Astyanax mexicanus: one gene and its partners. The protein of the gene in region 1 interacts with the protein of each later gene in a pairwise test. Links are inferred from orthologs where the notes say so. Each region holds a gene or a part of one and is shown in the gene's direction. Other genes may lie near its edges.

Evidence for each region.
Region 2: the proteins of atpaf2 (region 1) and rel interact in binary tests that used the Homo sapiens proteins (3 or more experiments, as listed by UniProt). The two-hybrid records come from large-scale screens. The link is inferred for Astyanax mexicanus from reciprocal best matches to the Homo sapiens genes ATPAF2 and REL.
Region 3: the proteins of atpaf2 (region 1) and ebf1a interact in binary tests that used the Homo sapiens proteins (3 or more experiments, as listed by UniProt). The two-hybrid records come from large-scale screens. The link is inferred for Astyanax mexicanus from reciprocal best matches to the Homo sapiens genes ATPAF2 and EBF1.

Annotation. Positions count from the first base shown.
Region 1 is NC_064422.1:24,662,449-24,670,666, forward strand, and holds the start of atpaf2 (ATP synthase mitochondrial F1 complex assembly factor 2), read left to right. Parts: upstream 1-4,895; 5' UTR 4,896-5,132; coding exon 5,133-5,268; intron 5,269-5,438; coding exon 5,439-5,483; intron 5,484-6,694; coding exon 6,695-6,843; intron 6,844-6,938; coding exon 6,939-7,036; intron 7,037-7,178; coding exon 7,179-7,259; intron 7,260-7,359; coding exon 7,360-7,472; intron 7,473-7,735; coding exon 7,736-7,851; intron 7,852-8,218. UniProt on the Homo sapiens protein: Plays a role in the assembly of the F1 component of the mitochondrial ATP synthase (ATPase).
Region 2 is NC_064414.1:37,478,021-37,486,753, forward strand, and holds the start of rel (proto-oncogene c-Rel), read left to right. Parts: upstream 1-5,321; 5' UTR 5,322-5,400; coding exon 5,401-5,407; intron 5,408-6,134; coding exon 6,135-6,155; intron 6,156-7,600; coding exon 7,601-7,740; intron 7,741-7,861; coding exon 7,862-8,010; intron 8,011-8,602; coding exon 8,603-8,694; intron 8,695-8,733. UniProt on the Homo sapiens protein: Proto-oncogene that may play a role in differentiation and lymphopoiesis.
Region 3 is NC_064417.1:50,637,768-50,646,592, forward strand, and holds the start of ebf1a (transcription factor COE1-A), read left to right. Parts: upstream 1-5,413; 5' UTR 5,414-6,178; coding exon 6,179-6,312; intron 6,313-7,305; coding exon 7,306-7,462; intron 7,463-8,576; coding exon 8,577-8,640; intron 8,641-8,825. UniProt on the Homo sapiens protein: Key pioneer transcription factor of B-cell specification and commitment. Recognizes variations of the palindromic sequence 5'-ATTCCCNNGGGAATT-3'.

The DNA of each region.
Region 1 (8,218 bases):
AAAAAACATTATTAAGCTGATTGTGTTTGACCAATAGGATAAAACTGAATAACCAGCATGAACAAGCCTGACCACAACTAAACGCAACACACACTAAATGCGATTTCTAAAATCTCACTTTTTTATTACCTAAAATGCAGTTTTTGTGTAGATGCCAGGACAAAATGTATACAAAATGTGTTTTTAATATATGGATTCATGCGGATGGGGTCTTAGTCTTAAACTGGAATTTTCAGCAGGCTAATTGTAGATTTTAAAAAAATATGTTGGTGTGTTTCATTTCTAGGAAGAACACATTAGATCAGCATAATAAAAAAACGATGGCAAAATCACTGTACTGGTGCACTATCACACTTTCTCCTCATTTATACACATGGATTACTGATATGCTTGTGTGATGTGGCTGTACTAAACTTTGACCTATGAATGTACCGTTAGCCATTTCTAACAGATCACCGCCTTACAAAAAAGTACAACTTGGCAGTTTCCTGTTAATGAAGTCAATATGGAGTCAGTTACCATGTTTATGATGTCTTTAACTGTGTTTGTTCACTGGCAAGTCATCAACAAATTATGGTCATATTGATTCTGTTGAGCAACCAGTTTATTTAATTGGCAGATTCTGAAATGTGTGGATTGAGCAACACAGCCATTAAAGGAAGAGAAGGATTTCAGAGAGCAGTAAATGCAGAAGTCAATACTGAGTATTTTATAGCAGTTAAAGGAAAAATATCTACTAAATCAGAAACTAAAATACAAACAGATTTCTGCTCTGTGATGGACAATTCAAAGAAAAGCATACTGGCTGAAAAACTGGTGTTAAAAGGGTGCCAGAACTTAAACTTAGCATGTTTCATTAGTGTCTGATTACACATGTTGATCGTTTTATGAGTTGGTAAAGGAAATAAATACACATATTGGTCACTTTAAAAAGTTGTGCTGGCTGAAACACTCCTTATAACTTTAGTGTGAATGGGTGGGCATAACTGTAGGCTAAACAAGCAGAATTATTACAAGTATGTGTGATTACAGACACAATTATTTAAAAATTAGTAATTTCTCTGTTTGTGTGAACATATATAAATGGAGATAAATTTATACTATAAAAAAAACTACATACATACTTCAATTATAAGATTTCAGTACAAGAAAGTGCCATAACACTGCTGTCTCTTCATTAAAAACTGCACAGTGTAATATATAATACATAATGAGAGTAGCACTGGAATAATCACAAAATTGGTTACAATGTTTTATTTTTATAGTGATTAAACAAAGATATAATACTCAATAAAATCTCTCATACATTTAAATTCAAATCTGTGTAGTTTTGTCTTGTGGACTGTGGACTTCTTTTCAATGTCATTAGACAGCTCAGCACACTTATGCTATCCATACATTACTTAACTCTCTGAAAAGACTTTTAACAGACTAAAGTCTGACACCCCCTCACATCTAAAGAGAAGTCACAGACTGTTTAGTCACAGACTCGTCACAGGCTAAGATTTTGCAGGGGGATTACTGGGGATCACTAATTGCAAGACTGCAACTAGATTCTTTCTAAGATTATTTCCCATCATGCTTCTGGTGGAGTTTACATACAATACATATTAGAAATTAAATTACAAATAATGTGTATATCAATCCTGTGATTTATTAGAGACTTTCAACGTTTGCCCCCATCAACAGTTAATTTTTATTAGTTCTGGATATTTTTTTACTATAATAAATTTTGTGTTTAACAACTGCCGATAAGTTTATTTTCCCCATTTTTTTCGACAAACTTGTATAGCAAAGGATCACAGTTTCACGGCTATACATTTGGCTTTGTTTAAGATAGAATTAATGCAATAAAGAACATCATTCTTGAAAAATGTGTATTTATTGAACTTGTTTGTATCACAAATAACACTGCACAAAAATAACTGTGCAAAATAAAATAACTTTAAACATAATGACTTTAAAGTGCTGCCTGTGTTTAAAATACACTATATATTAAAGTAAAAACCATATAAGGCATATTAATTGTAAAATGTGTTCTTATTCAAATTGTTTCTAAATAGTCACAAAGAATATTCTTCCTTTGCAGTTTCCCGTAGCTCTCCTATTGGTTGTTGACATTGTTAAAGTCACTATTTGCATGAGCCAAGTCTCCAGACTTACGATAATATTAAAAATATTAAACCACCAGACGCGAGCATGACTGACTAAAACTTTCAATCCTAACCACACTGAATGATTGAGATGACGCGACCGTGACTCGACTGCAGCACGACTCTCGTGATTTTATCTAAGCAACAGATGGCTGCAGGAATACAAAGGATGAAACTTATTCCCTTGAAGACAGTACTAGCACTGAGACAGTTGGGCCCCTCATATGGGCCCCACATATGGATGTCAGTGATGGGCCCCATCAGGGCACGAGATGCAACCATGAGGGGTTTAAGCATGGCCTTATCTGAGTTGTACACTGAAAAATTTAGGTAGTGCGGTAATTAAAATTAGTTTCCTTATAGCTATGTACACTATATGTTAATGCAATATAACTGTAACGAGCAAGTGACTGCTCAAACGGGCCTGTGTGTGTGTAAGAGGTCAACCGGCCCTGGTCTCTTGAGGACACTCAAGAGTCTTTTTAATTAACAGATCATCAGGCCAATAATAGGGAGGCACCAGCCTCCGAGGTCTCGCTTCAGAAGTTAACAATTTTTCCTTGTATGCTGGCCAATAGCTCGTTAGCAAGATAGATAAGAGCGAACGAGGCAGGTGAGGTCTTCTGAGGACGCTCAAGCTTGCTTTTAATAAACAGATCCTGACTTGACATAATGACGAAACCGAAGGGGTTAAGTAAGTGGAGCCTGAAGCCCACCTGTGTCCCAGCCCACTGAGAATGGTCAACCATTTTTTTTATGCATAAAACCTAATGTTTTTAACTCTTTAAATCAGAAGACTTCCGGTTCTGATCTGCTTTGTAAGATTGAAACTACCTGCTAAATAAAGCTGTCTTCTCCTTTCTTTTAAAATTGATTCTGTCTGATTTTTAGTTTTGGTTTTATTTTTCAACAAAGTTGTACTTTTAGAAGAACCTAGACAATTTCAACAAGATGTGGTAACCATCCCAAGAGACGTATTTAGACACGTCAGTAGGCTGTAAACTCAGCAGGGCTCCAGTAAATAAATATACAGTATATGTATCAGTTCTGCATTAAGAACAATGGACGATAATGTGAGTCACCTAGTATGGGAACACATTGTTGTTTGTAGATCAGTTATAACACAGATATATTAAACAGTTTAACAAACAAAATATTTTGCCGATTTGCACAAATTCCTTGGACCTAATATTTTGTGTGAGCATAGAAGATCACTTTGTTTTATACTAGTCTGCAGGACGTCTGGAGGGGAGTGTGAGCATATGTACGTATGTTTGGAAAGTTGTCTTTTAATGGAACAGGAAACAGCTGACAAGCTGAAAAATTATGTCATGAGACCAGATGATGAAACTTATAGGAAAATCTATCCATATTTATAAGAACTAGCGTTTCCTCTGAAGAGATTATTTTTATAGGTTTTCCACTGAAGTATCTACTGACTTGAATGACTGGTTTCCAAAAACCTAAAGAATGAAGTGTGGTAAATCTTGTGGCAGACATGCATCCTTATTTGTGGCTACTGTTGCAAAATGAGTGAATCATTTAAAGTGATAGCTTTCTTGAGGTTTATTCACTCTCACCTTTTTTTCTGGACATGGGAGTGCTTGCTTCAGTGAGTTTGGTTTGGTATGTTCAGAGAAGAATAAAAGCTGTTTTTGAACCCAGCCTTGGTCCAGAGCACTGATCTTGGACTGGGGTTCGCTTCAGGTTGACACTAGCATGTTCCACTCCAGGTATGGGAGTTATCTGCTCCTGGGGCTGCGTGATTGGTTCATTTTGTTATGTAACTGCTTCCACTTATCGCATTACTTCCTTCTCCATCAGTATGTGATAATTAAATCACTTTGTTATGACAGGAGCTAGGGAATTTTCTTTAGCTCCTGCTTGCTGAAATGCTGCACATCCCAAAGGCACTGTTTGATGCTGCTTGACTTTTTGTATTCAAGGCAATTTTTTTTTTTTTTCAAAAAAGCATGCACACAGTGAAGTGATGCATGGAATTGTGTGCTTCTGATGGAATTCTTGTGCATAGACCAGCGATAATGAGCTCTTCCCACAAAACAGGCACAGAATAGGTACTGGGTGTAGAGCCGATGAATCACTAATAAACTGAACGAGTCAGTAGCAGTGTAAAGCACCCACTCAGTCAGGTTTCTGTTTAGCTTTCTATTTGCGTGTGTATGAAACGAAAGCGAAGACAGCACTTTTCTAAAAAAAAATTCTAAGAAAAATTACTGACTTAGAGCCAAAACACACTGTTAGCATGATAGCATGCTAATAGACTGTAAGCCTAGGACTCAAACGCCAAGCCAATGTTTATACAGTTTTTTTTTTTGCAGACTCTGTTAAGATCTGTTTTATAGCTAAAATCTTTAATATCTTATGATTATTTTATTTATTTATTTATTTATTTATTTACCTTTTCCCCAATATATGTTCGAGTAGAGTTGTAAGGGTGGGCACGATTATGTTGTATTGTTGGGGGAAATTCCCTGTCTAATTCTTCTTCTTCTATAAAATATTAATAAATATATATTTTAAAATCTTAGAATTGTGGTTGACTACATCTGTTGCTTTATTTGAATTCAAAAACGTCTCAGAAAAGTCAGTAAAAAGTGCGGGTAGTATTTGAGCGGACGCGTACCATAAAAATGAGCGGTGTTTTGGCGTCCCCTGCTGGTATTTTTTTTTCTACAAGAGTTTCATCAGAGCAGAGACTACGCTTTGGGACTTTTATTTTGAAAATAAAGCTTTTCACGAAAGTCAACGTGAGAGGAAGGTCAGCGTGGGAGAAGTTGTATTTGCTGGCTGAATAGACTTTATACTGTGGGATCGTTTTGTTTTCATTTTAATCAGATTTTCTGCGCTATAGTGTCTAAATGGATGATTCATTCATGAGCGACTTAAGCTAAGCTAACTTGCTAACGTCTTCAGAACGTTTACACAGCAGCGACTCGTTTCCACACGTTGAGATTCGCGATGTTACCGGGTTTATGTCGGTTTCACGGGCTGGTCAGCCGGGCTCTTGTGCCTCTTGCTGGTCGGCAGGTGGAGTTAAAGTTATTGGGATGTTCAGCAAACGTGCAGAGAGCGAGATACGCCACTCCTGCGACAGGTGAGCGAATTTCTGCTTATAGACATCATATACATAAGATATCTATGGGCTCTGCTCTGCACTGTATTATTATTATTATACTGATCTCTGTTTTATTATAGTGTTCTCTTGTCACAGTGTTTTAGCTGCATTTTAAATGCCTAAAAGCGTCTAATAATGTATTTTCGCAGAGCGTAAGAAGTTTTATCGGGACGTCACGATCTCTCAAGGTGAAGGTAAGCATCACTCCACAGTATTGTACTGTATTACAGCTGAACAGCAGTCAGTCACGCAGGCCTTGCATTGATCTAATATCTGGGCTGGGTGTTGCTCAGCTTGCTTGATTTTGACATATGTAATATATATTTATATTTTTAATATATATATTTATTCCATAACCAACTGTGATGTGTGTGTGTGTGTGTGGTCAGTGTCCTGTTGGAACACACAGTTGTATCACAGCTTTATCAGTCTTACTGAGAGTTTAAGGGTATGTTTTAGGCAGCAATCTACCAGATTTCATCGTGCTACCACCACTATGCTTAACAGTAGTGTTACGCTTAGCAGTTTCATTTTCTAAACGTTTCAAGCTAAATTTTCGAAAATAGAAAATTGGCTGTAAAACTTAATTATGTCAGTTTTCTATTTGGTATAGTGAAAAGGAATTGGGGTTTCATTCAAGTTTTCTAGTTTTTCATTTTAGCATTTTGCAATCAGAATAAAAAAAATAATTAAAAAAGGGAAACTTCTCTCGATTTTCTTATTTTTCCACTTTTGTGTCTCAAATATGAAGCTTACATTTGTTACAAGATGCCAAAGTTGATTTAAAAAGTGTTTTTTTTTCTTTTCTGAAATTCCAATCGTGAGGGGCAGAGGTGAAAAATAATAAAACTATACTACACTAAATATTAAGTAATGATTTTTTTTACATTCATTTTTTTCATATAACCTCAACTGGTAAGAAAATTGAACTGATAAACATTACACTGACCTTTGAGGTTGCTCTACTCCTTCAGATTTTTTGTCTCATCTGACCCTAAAACTTCTCTCCAGGAGGCTTTTTCTGATCAACTGCAAACTTTAGATGATTTCTGATTTTGAGCATATCTTTAACAAAAGCTTTTTAATCCATTGTGATATAAAAATGTCTGTATGATAATAAAACTGGTGTTTTAGGAGCTTCCATGACAGGCCTGTGATGTTTTACAGCATGTAATATGTACAGTTGTTTGAACTGAGGATCTTGGAATCAATTGATCACATCAAGTTGATTAAATATGGAATTCAGTATTAATGTGCTGACACAACATAAATTTAGTTTGTCCCTGCCAAACACCACTAGTTAATTTGATTATATTTAGTAACTCATCGTGTAATTAAACAAAATTCATTAAAATGATATGAATATGATGTAAATGATGAATGTTTTCTTCCTTGTGATCTGCAGGAGGCCTTTATGAAATCAATCTAGACAGGAGAAAGCTGAAGACTCCAGGAGGGAAACTCTTCACTGTGCCAAATGAAGCCCTTGCTATCGCTGTTGCGACAGAGTGGGATGCTCAGAAGGACACGCTCAAGTTCTACACCATGCATCTAGTGAGTTACTTTAATTAAAGCTTAAAATGTCCGACTCTGGTGCTCTTTTGTTTGTGAAGTAGTTTATTTCAGTTGATGTTTAATGTTTTCTGTAGACCACTCTGTGCAACACAGCCCTCGATAACCCGACCCAGCGGGACAAAGACCAGATCATCTCTGCTGCACTGAAGTTTCTAGAGACAGATACAGTTTGGTATGCTAAACTTTTATTTGGAGGGTTATAAAATGTGCAAGGGCTGGTATTAATTGTTAAGCATTAACTTTGAAGATGGAAATGGATCTCTAGGAAACAATATTTTGAACGATTTTATCTGACCTTCCTGCATTCCTTTTAGTTACAGAGTAGAAGAACCTCCAGGACTTGTAGAACTTCAGAAAAATGAATGGGACCCTGTTCTGGAGTGGATTGAAAAGAGGTAAAATGTGAAAAAAACTGATAGTTATTTTTAATGATATAATAATCTTTGCATTACATTTTGCATTGTAACTGTGGCTGATCATTATTTATGTCTGTAGGTACAATGTTGTCATCGGTTCATCCTACAGCATAATGGGCCCCCAGATCCCAGAGGAGACAAAGGATACTTTTCGTCAGCATCTTAAATCTTATAACGTCTGGTCTCTGATTGGTACGGATGAGCATTGTTTTTTTTTTTTCCTCAGAATAGTGACGGGTATTATTTTTTTCTGCAAAAAGATATCTATTTGATATTTGTAATCTAGATTTAAATATATACATGCATTGTTTAACTGTAAGCAGAGTATCACACTTTTTTGCTTACGTACATTTTCAGAAATGAACAGGAGTGGAGTTATTTATATATTAATCTCTGTTCTGTAAATCTCACATTTGTCATTCCAAAAATTACTAAATGATTGAATATTTCTGCAGGGCTTGAGTATGTGATAAGTCAGCTGAAGTCTGTGGTTCTATCATTGGGGTTGATTGACAGACACCTAACAGTAGAGCAGGCAGTTCTACTGTCTCGCCTGGAGGAAGAATACCAGGTATGAAAAAATAAGCACCAATAAGCTATACATTTATAAATATAAATAATGTTTAATAAAGATATGACCTGACATGTTTGTTGGTGTAACTGTCTCTGCACTGAATAGAGCACATCTTTCCACTCTGCTGGGGGGCTTTATATTCATCTAGTTCAAGTCTGTCATTATGTCTGCTCCAAAGAGTGTCTTTCTAATGCCAATGCTTCTATCTATGCTTTGCATTCTGTGTCAGCAATGGGTGAAAATTTAAATAACGTAATTCATTAATATGAAGGGGTGTCCACAAACTTTCAGATGTATGTATGCATGTTTTTATATATACTGTTTATTTTCATCTAATGTCCTTTTAACAGGGTCATTGACTTGT
Region 2 (8,733 bases), on another chromosome or scaffold:
GGGTATAATCTGATCTATAGGGCTGGGATTATTGAACAGGTCATTATTAGGCTTGTGTTTTTGCTGAAATGGTTTATAGCTTTGCTGAATGACCTCAGAGTGTGTGTGTGCACGTGTGTGAATGAGTGACAGATTTATTCCCTGAGTTTAGGGCTTCACCCCTGCGCCTCCCATGGAGGTTTTTGGATTTTTGGTTTTGGCAGATCTTAATTTCAGTGAGAACAAATGGAGACGAATTGAGAAATGTTGCATTTTCCTTTTTTTTCCCCATTCACATTTCCATAAACCACTGTTCTGCCCCACAGGTGTACAGAGAAGCATTGATATGTATTTAAAAAGAGGCTTACTATTCATTTTTTTGGGGTTCCTTAACCTTTTATTTATATTTGCTTATTTGTACCATATAACTTTTATATCGCAGGCATTGCAGTTGGGAGTTTTTCAGAATGTCATTTTCACTGCTCAGTTTTGAAAATTCTTGTTTATATTCTTGCTTTAGATTAACTACTGTATATCTGTACACATTATATAGTAGTGTAAACACACCAATCTTTTCCTTTTTTTTTTTTTTCTTTCGTTTTTTTCTTAGGGCAAAAAGTTGTATTTCAAAACGTATTTTTGTATGTAATGTATTCTGCCTCCTTTAAACTGAGACCATAAAATTTCACAAAACCCCATCAACAGTGTGTTTGTCTTTACTGCTCATCTGTTTATAGAACTCTGTAAATTCCATTGTGTTGCATTGGAGAGTATATTTCCCCATAGGAAGTTTGGTGGAATAATACTTTTCTGCTCCTGCGCTGGACAGTGGGCCGAAGGAAACCTCAGGCACTCTGCCTCTGAGAGGAAAAGACAAGCTGTACTTAATCTGGCAGCGTGATTTAACCATTAAAACCCTTTCACATGGTGCAAGAAGTTTGAGGTTGTGGTTACTGGAAGTGAAGGAAGGAGGAGAAAAGGATGGGTAAATCCATGTATTACTTTGAAATGAGAATAGTAGTTAGTGTTTAGTTTATTTCTTAGGTTAAAAGTAATAAATTAAATACTGAATATGTTTTTTTTTCTTTTTCGTGTTCGGGAGAAAAGGGGGAAAAATAGTTTTCAGTTAAAGCTACTTGTTTGAGGACAAACCATCGCTCCACTTGATTGTTGTATTTGTTTATTGGCTGAGAAAAAGGTTCTGCCTTGATTTTGACTATGTAGCTGTAGTTCTCTAGGTGTGTAAGTGTTTAAAGTCGCCAATTTTCATTTTCTTTACCTGACCAGTCCGCTGGATCTTTATTACTTCCTTGTTCGTGTTTGCTTTCTGGGAGATTCCCATTCGCCAGTGTGCGCAAGTGACGTGGCGAGGGGATTCCCCTTTCTTATGACGGCGGGTAAGAGCAGTGATCCAGTCCCCCACAGCCGGTCCACACCTACTACTACAGCCCCCTCTAGACCGCTCAATTAGCGAATAGCCTGGATGGATTCGGGTACCGCAATGTGAAATGTAGCACAGGAGGTGATTGCACACATGGCTCGTGCACTGTCGGGTGAAAAATGCTCTTCAGATATATTCTTGCTTTTTTGATTCAAGAGGCTTTTATTATCATTTCATCTAAGTTCAAAGTGAAATGAACCAAGATGCAGCATGGAACAAACAGTACTGTATAGACGACAAAAATGCAAACGTGCAACAATAAAAGAGCACCATTTTAAAATGGTGCACTTTTATTGTAGATGTACATTCTGAGGTACAGCATATAATTAAGGTGCAGCTGCTGATTACACTAGAGGTAGGGAGGTAACAGCTTAATATTAAACTAGAAAGTTCTAGTAAATCGCCTAGACCCTCAGTTGATCAAATCATTTGATTTTACCCCACTCGCATAACGGCCTACTTAAGCTACTTTATTATCACCTCAAGACTATTGTAAAAGCGTTCCAAGATGGAGCCATCTTTAATAAAGGCTATAAATTTATGAATATTGCGTTGCTGTTGTGTTTTATTATTGAGTCTGCATTTTAGTCAGCAACATAGCTAAGGCCATAAAGCTAGATAGAAATGCTGTTCAGTTCGTGGCTGTTATAATTAAATTACAACTTTTTTTTCTGTCGTTTCAATAAATATATATTTATTTATTTTATATATGTTTAGGATTATTTCTGCTTGGTTCTGGTGCTCAACTCTATGAAAAATCTCCTCTAATTGCTCTTTTTCAAAATAATAACAAACCTTTTTTTTTGTGTGTGTGTGTGTGTTTACATGGGGAAAAAATCTATTATTTTAGGAAGATATATTAAAAGAAAGAAAGTAATGCAAACTCTGCATCCTAAAAGGCAAAGTGCATACAAAAAAATAAAATGTTCATTTTTGGTTTAATTACATCTTTTAATGTTGTTGAAGAAAAAATGCCAAATTGCCATTGGTTAATGTTGAAAGTTCTACATTAAATCACCATTCATTTAAAGGTAATAACAAATAATTGTTATAAATATTTAATGTAAATTTAAAGTGTTTAAGTAAGTTTAATGTAAACAATACATATTAAACCAAAATGTTGGCTCAATATGAAATTAATGTGCACAAATATCAAATCAATTGTTGGAGGTCCACATTGTTTGGAAGAAAATATGAAGATTAATCCAATGTTCATTTGCCCTCTCGGTTACAGTCTATGAAAAATAAATGTATAAATCTGATTATTAACTCATTTTTAACAGCCCTGCATCTAATCCTCGTTGCCATTATTGTAGTGTTGTCAGATAAATATGTACTTTGACATTTTTATTAAATAAATAATTAACGTTACTTATAAGTATCCTTACAAAACACACTTGATGAATACATAAAGCACATTAAAAAAAGAATCATTTTTTCAGACATATTTAGGCAACTTGTTAGAACTTACATCATGTGCTGTATGTCATCTAGCCAGTCCATCTCTCTCTCTCCCCTGAAGTCTTGTACAAAACCTACATTTGAAAGTTTTACCCATAGACCTGTACTTATATATAAGTATTTATACAAAATCTGTGGTTTCACCCTAATTGTGGCTCAAGCTCCATTTTGATTTTAAATGTTTTACATGAAATTGTTAAATTACCTGAAACAGTAAGTCATTTCCAGCAACCGATAATAGACATTGTTGTCAAATCCTTGATTCATGTGTTCATTATTGGATCCTGTATTATATTACTGTGCATGTTCTCAAATTTCTTATGACCCATACTGCATATGCGCTTTCACAGGCCCTGCTTAAACCAGTATCTGAGTTCAAGTGGCATTTCAATTGTTCTTGACACTGAATGTAATCACAAAATATTCCCAGCAGTGTGTTAACTTGTCCCAAGTGTTAAACCACCCCACATCCATATACAGGATATTCCTGCAGCAAAGAAGGGGCACACATCCTACTAGCAAATCTTTAAGAAACAGAGCAGCACTCTTGAAGATCACTCAAATGTTCTTGGGAAAATATGGTATGAAAAGTGTAGTTGCTCATATGTTCTGAGGAAAAGTGACCAGCAAAGGTCCAAACTCATTAAACAGTGTTGGTTAGTATGGCATGGCACAGACAGTCAAGGCCCTTTTGTAAGTATGTAAGGATAATGCGTGGATAACTGCAGTTCAGATTTGATCGGTTCCTCACACATAGGCCAACAATTGAATCTGCAAAACACAAACATTAGTAGTGAGTAAATGGTATATATTGTCGTATACATAAATCAACTGTAAGCCTTCACCCTTTGGCAAGCTTTCTGACAGTCTGTAAACATGATTTAACCATACTGATCATTCCCAAATGAAAGGAGCAGGAGCAAACAATAGGTTGTGTGAATGTAACCAAGAACTAACAATAGGGAGAATATAACACTGTTAGAAAACAAAAGAATGCACAGTTGTGTGTTTTATTAATAAAAAAAGTTGTTCTACCCAAAATTACTATAATAAAAAAATCTGACACAGAATAGGTATTATTTGGGTGGTGGGTCATTCTCGGCATTGCAGTGACAATGGACAGCATCCTTTGAATACTAAATAAGATCTCCAGCGGCACTGCTGTGTCTGATTCACTTGTACAACTGTGACACACACTAATACTCCACCATAAGGTCAGTGTCACTGCACTGCTGAGAATGTCTTAATATGTTGTGGCCACAAGTTTTTGTTATTTTTTTTACATGATGTCACTGTAAGGGGCGCCATAGTAAAACATTTGTATGACATTAGAATAATTATAAAAATATATAAATACACAATAGTTAGTAATCAGATATGTTGTTGGTCAGTAAAGTTATTTATAGGCTGAGTATCAAATTATTTAAAAGAATTAGCTTTGCTGAAGAACTATTTGGTTGGTTTGGTTGGTCCTTCAGTGAAGGACAAATTGGATAAATTAGGACGTGGAGGATAACTGTAAATATTCAAGTCTAGTCAAATGAAGTAGTTTTATTGTCAAAACTGCATTTGTACAGGACATACAAAGAATTGAAATTACATCACTCTCCTTCCCAAAGTTACAACAAGTAAAGAAAGTACAGAAAATAAGAATATAAATATAACAGAATGAGGGGCATTAGATGTACAATACAACAAGGGCACAAATACGTATGTGAGACAAAAGACACAAGACAATAGTGCAATAGTGATGGGGAGGGGGGGTTAACTAGGGATTGATGATACAGTCATATGAAAAGTTTGATTCTGATTAAGATTAATAGGGGTGCCCAACCTTTTTCATTTGACTGTATGTATAAACATAACCATTATAACAGTAGTGCAAATGTAGAGAAAAAAAAATTAAAAACCTAAGACTGGTAAAGTGAACGAGTGCATACAGTTCTTCTAAAAAATGCACAGTTGTAGGGGGAATTGAAGTTGTTTAAATTATTTTTTACAATTAAATTATTTTTGAAATTAAAATTATCATATTAAAATTATTAGGAATTAAAATTGTTAGGCCTTCTCGTGGTTTATTTAAACCCAGCTTACCTATCAGATAAATAGCTTTATAGACAATTTTGTTTAGTTCTCATCATTTTTTAATTATTTAGATCTTTATCAATGGACCAATAGAAAAATAAAATATTTTTTATTGATTTCTACTGATTTTTTCAAGCCTTTAAAAGTTTTAAGCTTTTACGTTGCCTTTTTTGGAGAAACGTTATGCGTTTTGTGTGATAGCGATAAAACAAATACATTTTAATCAAAATAAAATCCATTTTTTTAATGAAGTGCTACGTATAGTCTCCTGTGTGTGTGATTGGCTATGGACGTGCGGGGGGGGCGGAGCCAGGCGGCGGGGGGAATTCCCAAGCGCCCTTCACCTCTGGAGTAACACTTCACTCATTCACTTCTGAACATTCACACACACTCACGTACACACACTGATCGCTGCAGCAAGGGGCTCCACTAGAATGGATGGTGAGTTACAAGCTATTAATTAATTCACGCCTTTTAACAGCTTTCCTAGAATAATTATAATATCTGTGATATATATTTATATATAATAGGAGTACACAATCATCCAGACTGAGAGCTGTGACTAGTATAGCCTGCTGTTTTTGTTTGGTTAATGGATGTGATATGGAATTACATGAAGGTGTTAAACAGTTTTCAGTCAGAAGGTTAATGGATGGGGCTAGATTAAGATTTCTATGTGTTTACGTGTTTGATTCTAGTAATTGTTTTGTTGCTAGATAGCTTGTTACTTGTTGTAACTTGAATAACCAGTTCTCATGTGTTAAATTACTGATTGCTGCTTGTTTCACAATGTTTCAGAGGGAGTGTCGACTAGAAACAGTATGAAAACCAATCAGTGCATATGTTGTGTATATTATGTTTATAAATATAACTTCCTGACAAATTATATTAAAAATAAAAAATAAATAAATACATGAATAAATAATAATAGTAATAATATTTGATGGTAGAAAGTAAGCTGCCATAAAGATTTGACTAAAATCCATGACGAATAGGCTAGTCTAAATCTGCACCAGGAAATCAAAATGAGGAACCTCAGACTACTGGTTTTGACTTCAAGTTCCCATTTGCAGTATTGTCAGCAAATGCCTTGATTTTGCACTTGATTTTTCAGCTTATTGTTATTATATAATGTCCTGAAATATTTTGTCCTCTTTTTTTTGCACAGCTCATTTTCCCCCAATGAACAGTAAGTTCATATCATTCTTTTTAAAAAAGTGTAAAGCTTTTCTGTACAGCCAGCATGCTTATAACTATCTTATAACTATAACTGCCTTTATAACTTTCTTTTCTTTGTCTGCTTCCTTAATTTCTTTATTTCTTTTTTTTGTTCTACCACGGTTTGGGTTGCTTGGTTAAGGTAGTAGAGTAGTAGAGTGACAGCCACTTCCTGTCTATATGTGTGTGTGTGTGTGTGTGTTAGATAGCAACATGCAGAGCAGGTAGAGCAGAAGTGAGTACGTGAGGTCAGCTCAGGTAGAATATATCGCTGTACAACACAGTTATAAGGACTATATAAGGTCTGTGTGTATATACGTAGCTATACGCAGCTATACACAGAGCAGGAAGAGCAGAAGTGAGTGAGTGAGTGCTTGAGGTTAGCTCCTAGGTAGAAGATATTGCACAGATATTACACACAGCTATAAGGAGGCTGTCTGTGTGTAATTTATTCAGATCAAATCATTCTCATCCTCGTAAGTACAGTCTTAGAATTGTACAGGCCTGAAATGTGCTGAAATGTGAGTACAGGCAGTCACAAGGCAGACTGTCTTATTTAGACATCTGCACATCTGTATGACGAGAGGAACCTTACAACAGGAGCCGTGAGAGCCCTGAGTGTCATCTCGTGCCACACACAGCTGTGTAGTCTGAACAGGTGTTTAACAGAGCTTCGACAATCATAATCATCCTTTGTGGTCCACTGTGGTCCACTGAGATGGGAGCACTTGTGAGAAATACACTAGCAGGTGTAGCCGAAGGGGAAATTATTTGATGTGAGTTGTGTGTTGGCAGTGGTTTGAGCAGATTCTGAGGAATGTGCTGTGGTCTGCAGATGTTTAGATGTTTACAATACAGCGGGTCTCCGAACAACCTCAACATTTCTTCTAATCAATATTATACTGTCTGCCTGCTGTCTGCTTATCTGACTTGATGCTTGCTTAAAACCTGTCCATAATTAACTATATATCATAATCTTTGCCCTTATTCATTTTTTTTTTACATAAAAAATAAAATGTTTTAGTTCGATGTAGATTTCTTTATTAGTCAAGGCACTTAAAGGTACAATAAGTAGTTTTTCTGAAAAAGACATGTTAACAAAAACAATGTTTACCAGCCATAGGGTCTGCATCACATCAGCTTAAAATAAAGCAAACAAACATGTAGCAAAATTCTACATATTGCACCTTTAATAATAATTATAATAATGTAACTTACACAATAGAAAAGAACATAATGAAAAAGAAAAACAGATTACTCGCAAAAAGGAATATGGGGTGATATGTGGCTATTCATATGGATGGATCAGTTAGTTTCTGTGCCTTCTAAAATTAGCTGATTAAAACTGTTGTATATTAATTCAGTCAATACTCACTGCCTGACTCCCGTTCTCTTTCTTACCCTGTCTTTCATTAGTGGGAGAGCCCTGTGTTCAGATCTTTGAGCAGCCCAAACAAAGAGGCATGCGCTTCAGGTATAAATGTGAGGGCCGCTCAGCAGGCAGTATACCTGGAGAGAAAAGCTCTGATAATAACAGGACATACCCAAGCATTCAGGTACAGATTATTATTATTTTTGTTTTAAATAAAGATTTCTCCAATACATTACTTCACGATTTCTCTGTATATTGACCATTTTTCTAACTAACTACTAAATACTTTCTTTATTTCTTGTCAGATTTTGAATAACTGTAGAAAAGGAAAAGTGCGTGTGTCTTTGGTAACCAAAAACGAGCCCTACAGGCCACACCCACACGACCTGGTGGGAAAAGACTGTAAGGATGGCTACTACGAGGCAGAGTTTGGACCTGAACGCAGGGTGATTGCGTAAGTCAGCACTAGCTGTTAGCTAACTCATGAAGGCTGAATTAAAACATGCTGAATCGTAATGTTTTATACATTATATTTACTTTACACTCAGATGAAATTGTACTATAAATGAAGGAGTCAGTAGACAATGTTTAAAAAAAATCTGTTAACTAAAAAGATTCACAGTTTTTTTCTTTTTAAATCTCCTTTTGTCTTGTTGCCATTTTTTCCTAATGAAGTTAAAGCATTACTGAGCTCTACATCAAAGTCATTCCTGTCTGCCTCTTCTCTTTGTGGAGCTTAATGTCAGAATACCATACACCCACATATCCACACCCACACACAAACACTATGTACATGCTGCTACAGACCTCTGTCCATCTTTTTTTAATATAAAAAAAAAATGATCTCAGAGAAGGGAAACAGCAGGGGGATTCCCCTAATATGCAAAATGCGTACCTTAGAGCTGCAGTGTTTTGTCCATCCCCCAAAATTATCTGCCTGGCCATCTCTCATGATTCACAACCCAGAAAATCTATATAATTGCTTTTGATGTGGTTCGTGTTGGATTTTGAATGAATGGAACCATAAATGTGTATTTATTTCACAGCTTCCAGAACTTGGGCATCCAGTGTGTGAGAAGAAGAGAAGTTAAGGATGCCATAATGCAGAGAGTAAACAGAGGCATCAACCCCTACAATGGTGAGATCAGATTTTCATATTAGTTTTTTTATATCGCTC
Region 3 (8,825 bases), on another chromosome or scaffold:
CATCTTTTTTGGTTATTTTTCAGCCATTTCTCATTTTCTACAAATAAATGCTCCAAATGAGAATATTTTTATTTGGAATTTGGGAGAAATGTTGTCTGTAGTTTATAGAATAAAACAACAATGTTCATTTTACTCAAACATAAACCTACAAATAGCAAAATCAGAGAAACTGATTCAGAAACTGAAGTGGTGTCTTAATTTTTTTCAGTGCTGTATGTGTGTGCATATTTGTGTAAAATGGTGTGAGCCAGAAAATAGGAAAAAAATGTGTGTGTGTGTGTGTGTGAGTGTGTGAGAGAGTCTTCCTGTGTGAGTGCTGAGACTCCCTTTAGTGTGAGGGGCAGGAAGAGAGAATGGAGGAAACATTAACGAATCAAAGAGCGGACCCCCTTCACCCCGCGCCGCCCCCCCATCAAAGGTAGCCCTGAACTCTGACCTCTGTAAAAACATGTAAAAATATGTAAAAGACAGAAAAAAGACCAACAAAGCATTCTCTCAGACTGCACACACTCTTACACACACACACTCTTACACACTTACACACACACTCACACATTCCGCACGCCTGCTTCTTTCTCACGGAACTGGCATATAAATTATGTTGTCTCTCAGCCTGAGGTCTTTTCTGATGGAGGACTTTCCCTTTTCTTAAAGCCAGAAATTACACTAACGTGCCAAAAGTCATGGGACAGATGTACAGTACCGTGCAAAAGTTTTAAGCACCAAAGCAAATTACACTTATCCATTTATCTCACCAATATGAGTGTTTTTACCTGAAAAAAAGCATCACATATGATTTAAACAGATGCAAATAAACATACATTAAACATACAGTAAAACGTAACAAGGAATTCTCATTTTTAAGTATGTGTAGAGATTCCAGATTTCTCCTGGATGCTCCTCAGCCAGCATGTGTATATTATGTTCAGTTCCGTCAGCAGCTCACCTGATTTACCACATTTACCAGTAAATTACCAAACCAGGTGTTGATTAATATGATGAGAACTAGAACTAACTCTATTAAACTCAGATTAACAGGAGAGATTAGGAGACGTTTTAAGGAAAAAAGGGCTGTAAAAGCTGTAACTGCTTTTTGTAAAATTGCTGTTTGCATTAATTGTAATGCTGTAATGTGTTTTACTGAGATAATAAACAAACACTTACTGTACAGATAAGAAGCTTTTTCTTTACTGAAATTCCAACAGGTGCCTAAAACATTTGCACAATACTGTATGTATATATATACATATTTCCAAGAGAATTTGCAGTTTTAGATATTAAGATATTATTCAATTCATTTATTACTTTTTTTTAAATAAAATGTAGGTGATTATCTCCTATCTGAGGAAAACAGATTTTATATACAATAGCCCAGCATTATTACATTAATATAAATAATAATAAAAAAAAAACATACAGGTTTGATAAGGGTCCTCTGATTATAAACTTGATTATTTTTTATTCATTAACATTTTATTAATTTCCATCAAAATTAGACAGAAAGGTACCTTACTGATCACAGAGAAAAAATCTGGAAATTTTGTGGGGCATGTTTTATCAAAATTCTCAGGAATCAGTAGATAGCTGGATCAAGTATGGAGGAATGAGACTGGATCCATAGTCCAGAAGAAGTTAGATTGATTCCCAGGGTTCCAGCAGGGTTGGAGGCCACTAGTTTGAACCAATGACTGGTTTGAACCATCCTGTCTAAAATACTCCTGTAATTACACAATAAATCACACGGTGGCGCTGTGGCATCACCAACGCTCCACTCTTCAGCTCTTCTAGCGGCCAGCTGAACTTGATGGATCAGCAATCAGAGGTGCTGTACTGTATTTTACAGCAAAAAATAAATAAACCGACGTGTTTCTTTGGCATCTTTTCATATTTATATATTTATATATTTATATACTATATTAACCAAAAAAGAAAATGTTTTAAAATGATCAGGATTAAGAAACAGAAGAAGAGATTGGAGTAATTGAGTATAAAATAAATTAAAATTGTACCAGTGAGCAGGGTTGTGTAGCTTCTTCAACAAACAAACCAACAAGCCATAAAATTAGTTTTATTATTTTAATACACTGTTACATAGCCTTGCATTCTGCACGAAATATACTGTTAATTATGTATAATATACACGTTTTTGGTTATTACTCACTTCGCGTGAGAGAAGTTGTTTATTAAATTATAAGGTGTAAACTGAGGTTGACAATGTTTAAAACGGCGCGTTTTTGTATTTCCATCTGTTTTTTGTCAAATTGAATTTAATGTCGTCAGCATAATATTCGCTTTAATTTAATTTAAAGCGAAGCACCATCAACACCATTGAGAATCGCTTGCATTAAAATTATAAAGTATTAATATATTAATTAATTCAGCGAGAAATCCGGATCCGTTAAGTTATTGTTTTCGCGTCAACGGGAAATTCTTAACGCGCGCGCGCGCACATATATATATCATACGTGCATATTATAAATAGCGTTGTGCAAATAGCAAAATGTCACATTTTAAATTTTGAAACAGCCTCTCTCTCTAGTTACGATCTAACAGTGTTTGATTTTTTTTATATATATAAACGCTAAATTCGAAAACTGACATATATACCTTTACATATACACAGACATATAAGCTATATATGGGTGTATATATGCATTAGGATGCACCTATTCACCTACTGACGTATATTCATGTGTATCACCCACTTCCATTGTTCACACATTTGTATAACATCAACCTCCAGCCATTCATTCAGGCTAACTGAATTATTAGTGAACAAAAAAAGGGCGGAGCTAAACAGATGACAGCTGGTGAAATGTATTCCCTCCTAGATATTTCACTATCAGAAACCAAAGCAACTTAACCAATAAAGTGTTTAACCAATTCTTTGGTGATCAAAGAACTCTAATGTCTGTTTACATGACCAATTATTAGAAATTCATTTTAATCACACTTTAATTGAAATTTTGTGGTTTTAATATCACATTACTTTAAAGGAGAACTCAGGTGTAAAATGGACTTTTGTTGTAAGCTTGTGTTATGGGATGTAATGTGTTTTAAATATCAGAGCTCTCTGGATTCTAGCAAGGAGGTGTGGAGCTACTTTGAGCTGGATAACAGTTTAAATAGTGATTTATCAGGGTAAATTATGCACCGTATCTCCCAGTCTGAAGGGTGTTTGGACAAACTTAAAATTTCTGGATCTTAGAATGCTGTGGGAGAACGGAGGTGTGCTATTCATCAAATGTAAGTACTTTTTATCATATTTTACTACAACAAAAGTCCATTTACACCTGAATTCTCTTTTAATGTTGGTGTCAGACATCATGGTTCATTTTGTGTTGCGTTTAAACCCTGCCCACTAGATAGCAGTGTTGTACTTGTACTGTTTCTGGATCCTACTGTTTATCTAATTAGAAAAAACAACTACACTGTAAAACCCGACAAGTTGACTAAACTCAAAACATTTGTTGTAACCGATTACCTAATACATTTTAAGTTCATGTAATATAATTTTTAAGTACAGTGAACTTAACAAATACATATACATATATATTTTAAATTATATTGTATTCAGTCTTCTCTGGTTTCGTTCAACTATTTTTTAAAATACTCATAGAAAAGTAGATGAAAGAAAACAGTAAAGAATTAAAAGTACTGACAGCACAGCGAGAACACAAGAGTTACTGCAGCTCAGTAAATGATGCTTGTTCTTACAGCCTACAACACAAAGACCAAGTATTTAATCATAATAAGTGATCTACAAGTTTACCTAAGGTAGCCCAGAGGGAATCATTACACACTGATGGTGAGTGCCAGAAACTGTTGGACACACCCAGTATGCAAATAGATTGTGACAGAAGCCAATGGAAAAGAAGCTGCCAATGGCAACAGACTAAACTCAGTTATTATAAGTTGGTTCAACTCAAAGATCTCAGTTTGAATAGTACAGTATATGTGCCCACAAATTAAGTTCAACTAACTCAAAATAGTTGAGTATTGTTTAGAAATATCCAATTTTATGTAAAAGAGACTTAAATTTGAGTTCAAAAAGCTTCTGGGATTACAGTGTACATTTTATAAATATAGTGTATTTTTTGCTATGAGGGACTTTTCCTGATATTTTTTTTCTTTCGTGTATTGTGATCGAATTTCGAATTGCCATGTTCTTGTCAATACAATATCTGCACGCACGCACAGAGAGAGAGAGAGAGAGAGAGAGAGAGAGAGAGAGAGAGAGAGAGAGAGAGAGAGAAATAAATAAATAATGTAGGCCTATACACTGGATAAGCTAAAAATAATATTTCTTCTTCTGTTGTTTATTACACTTATGCCTGATAATCATTATCAAAAATGTTAATTCACCAGTAGTTTCCTATTAAATAAATGTATACGTCTAAATCAAATGAAATAAATATTATACTTTATAAATATTCTATATCATATTTGTATCAAATTTTATACGAACGGTTTCGTCACTTTCTTTGTCATTTGCTATGTTCTGTATATTGTGAAGTAATTACAGAATACACCTGCTGAACTCTTCCTATTGGTTGTACGTGTGTTCAGCAACATCAATATGTTTTAGATATTGTTTCCACCTATTTGACGTATTTTTTAAAGTAAATTAAACTGATTTATTGGAAGAAACTCTGAACGCTTTTGATTTTGACGTGATCCTACAAGCATTTTATTTTATGTATTTATTTTTTACACATTTTTATCATTCTGCATTAAATAATAATCTATATACCATTAACTGAATTAACTAGCACTGCATTTGAGTGCAGTATCCTACCATAATTCAGTAACGTGCTTCAGTGAGAGCTGTCAGAGTCGCGCCTCGGTCGCCCCGGTATAGCTCCGCGTGCGCGGCTTTGCTCTCCTCCAAACACGCGCTCCGCTAAGTGGAGAAAACGGCGGACTGTGACATGCAATTACTTGTTATGCCTTCTTCTTTCCACGCCCTTGTTCGCACAAAGCCCCGCCTTATTTTTTTTCAAAGAGCACTGTGATTGGCTGGTAGATCATTAGGGTTGTGTGTGTGTTTTTTTTAATCCACCTGTTTTCAGGTTTTCTGATAAACCCAGCGCTAAACTATTATCTGCTGCTGATGATGATGCTTTAACTGTAGTAGGCGGGGTTTAGGTGCGAGTGCGACCTGGCTGGTAGCGAATCATTGTGCAGTATAGTGCAGAAGACTGGTGGATATTAGCCAATCCCAAGACAGGAGGGGCGGGGTTATTGGGAAAAAGGGTGGGAAATGAAAAGCCCACGCGGTGGTGGCGGGCTCCGCGGTTGAGTGCCCTGCTAATGGAAGTACGGGGGCTTGCCTATGTTTTTTTTTTTTTTAGTTGGGGGTGGGTGGTGGGGGGCGTCTCCTGCGCACACACGGTCCATCCCTCTTCCCTTTGGGGCTTTAGTTTGCTTGTGTTTCGTTCCCACAGCTAGTCACATCGGATTCCTCTGGGAAAGAGCGCAAATCGGTCCCGTTTGAACACGGGGAACAGCGCGCGCGGGATCCGTCCGCCGCCACGAGGGTCTCCACCTCTCCCTTTGCCTGATTTCAATATCGCTCATTGATTTTGATTTGATCAGAGCATAAACAAAACAGAAAAGAGGGGAAAGGCAAATAAAGAGGAAAAGAGGAAGGTTGTGGATAATGACATCTGATCTATAGCGCGCCGCCAGAGCCGCCGCTGATGATCATCCAGTTTTTCTTAAAGTGACATTAGATTTTTTTTTATCTCTTCTTTTTTCGCTCACGAGCCATCAGTGAAGATCTGAAGATCTCACCGGGTATCTTATCTCTCACGCGTCTCCCAAACCTTGTGCTTGACAGCGCGAGATTGCTTCCACGCGCTACTTGTTTCTTTTTTTGTTTTGTTTTTATTTTCCTTTTCATTACATTTGAGTAATTTTTTGTACATTTTTGAGTGGACTAGAGAAAACCAAGGAACACTCCGAGACTCCATCTGACCTGTCCAGACTTCAGCCTCGATTTTTACGGAGAGATAATTTTTTTGTGGAGCGATCAGATTTTTGCCAGATAGGACAGAAAGAGAAAAAGAGAGACGGGGACTTGGGGAATAAATCTGGATAAAGAAAAACAATAAAAAGGAAAAGAAGAAGAAGAAAAATAAGTGACTTGGGAGAATAGACAAAAGTCCGCGTGCTCATGTTCGGGATCCAGGAGAGCATTCAGAGGAGCGGGAGTAGCATGAAGGAGGAGCCGATGGGCGGCGGCATGAACGCGGTCAGGACGTGGATGCAGGGCGCCGGAGTGCTGGACGCGGCCACCGCCGCGCAGAGGTGAGGAGAGCCGGCATCACTCCCCGCACATCACTCCCGAGCATCACCCCGCGCATCACCACCGCACTCTCCAACACACAGCAGCCGCTCCATCCTCACACCCAGCCCGGACAGCTCGCTCAGATCCAGCCGATTTAATTCCACGCTACTGTCCAAGCTCAGTTTGCAGTGTATAGACCCACGATTTATTATTAAATTTGATTTTAGATTTTAATGCAGTTTTTGCCACTTGCTAAAAACACGTGAAATGTGATTAAATTTGCTATAAAAGCTAAAACACTTTAGGAAAGTACCTTATGTCACCAGCTTATAAGAGCATATGCTTACTGATTGACTGAATGACAAAATAGAAACAAAACAAAATTGGCAAAAAAACATTACAAAGTCTAAACAAAAACATTGTAAAATTACGTTGAAATTGTAAGTGTGTGATGATAAAAAACAAAAAACCCTTCACCTCTTCTTCTACTCTTGAACTTGTGCCTTAAAATCTAACAGCTAACAGAATAGTGTAATTTCTCTTCTTCATTTCTTTTATTTTCTTTTATTTCATTTTATTAATGAACGCAAAAACTAAACTAGTATAAGCAATAAATAAAGTAATTGTTTTTTGATATCTGCATTTGCTATGGCGTGGACGAATATTATATTTTGTACTTTTTGTTTGTTTTTGGTTTATTTTAAATAAATAGTTATAATAATTTAAACTGTGTTAAATGAACAGCATGTTAAATCTAATGTAGCGTATTCTATATTCTATACTAAGACGCTCTAACAGAGCGATTTGACTTTGATTAATTAATGCTTACACAAAATTAGATCAGACAGAAGCTATCAAATTCAAATACAAGAAAACAATTCCCTGTCAACACACAAACATCCTGATTCTGATTTATTGATAAATCGTACATTTTCTCATGTAAACTGACGTGATGCTCGATTGTCCGACAGTGTTAATTTATATGCGTGTGTTTTGTGTTCGCGTGGCCGCAGTGGAGTGGGTCTGGCCCGGGCTCACTTTGAGAAGCAGCCGCCGTCCAACCTGCGCAAATCCAACTTCTTCCACTTCGTGCTGGCTCTGTACGACAGGCAGGGGCAGCCCGTGGAGATCGAGAGGACGTCGTTCGTGGGATTTGTGGAGAAAGAAAAGGCAAGTTGTGTTTTATCAGAACCGAGCTGAACCAGAACTCAGTAGGCCTGTGGATCTGTCTGATCACATGCAACACTCAAAAAGACAAAAAAAAATTGAAACGGATTTGTAGTTTATAATAAGATTTTGACCTTTTTTTAATTACCGCTTTATTTTTTGTTGTTCATCAAATACAATTTATTAAAAAAATAGGGCCCATACTTCTCATCATAGACCATCTTAGAAGCGAATACCCATTTAAAACCTCAAACAGTTTTGTATATAGTACTTGTTTTAACCAGTATTGAGTGGGTTTTATTTGATTGTGTCACATTTGATTTGTTCTTTTAACAGAAATTAATAGAATGTTTTATACAAAATTGCCGCTAAAAATAACCGCTTAAAATAAATAGACACAGGCGCAGTGTGTTGTGTTTTAAAGCGGCGCAGTCTATAGATTATATACTAATCTGCTTGCTTATTTGAAACTTTATTTTTTTGGCTTATTATTAATCATTTATTAGTAGGCCAGTTCTGGACACTTTTTTGTATAGCTGCTAGAGCCCGCTCCCACTTTTTCGCTTTCTCACTTTTCCACTTTTCTGAAGGCTAGATAGATGTCAGTGCAGCTCCAGTGCGGAGCGGACCGCGTGTGAAACGCGCACACACACACAAACACACACACACACACACACACGAAATATCCATACTATTATTTTGCTATTTCTGTTTTTACGTTTTCTCTTTTTTTCAATCTCTCAGTATCTCATTTCTTAGATTTTCTCAATCTCTCATTTCTTCACTCTTATTAATTTATTTATAAGACGCTATAAATTATTATACTATATTTACTGTGCTGTATGCTGTCAGTTCAGTAAATTTAGCTGTTAGAATCAGCAGATCTGTCTTATTATTAGGTTTATTATAATAAACTGGTTCTGGTTCTGACTGTTGATGATGAATGTCTTTGTTAAACCCAAAGTTTCAGAGTGGTCAGGACTGGATTGGGGATACTGGGGGTCTTACTGGAGTGGGATACTGGGGGTCTTGCTGGGACGCTGCTGAGAGGGGTCTTCCGCTGGTCTCGCGCTCTGCAGCAGTGGGACATAATGTGGACATTTGTTTGTTTTTGTAGGAACCCACCGGAGAAAAGACAAACAATGGGATTCATTACAAACTACAGCTCCTCTACAGCAACGGTAAGCACGTGCAGTCATTTCTTACGTAGTTCAAAGTATTTTTTTTAAGAAATCAGAGAATAAACAAGTTAAAAAAAATAGAAACTAAAATGACGTGACTAAAATTCGCTAAAACATTAACATTAACGCGATGAAATTAATTTTGCTTAAATCCGTTTGTTATAGTTTATATAGTTTAGTGTTTA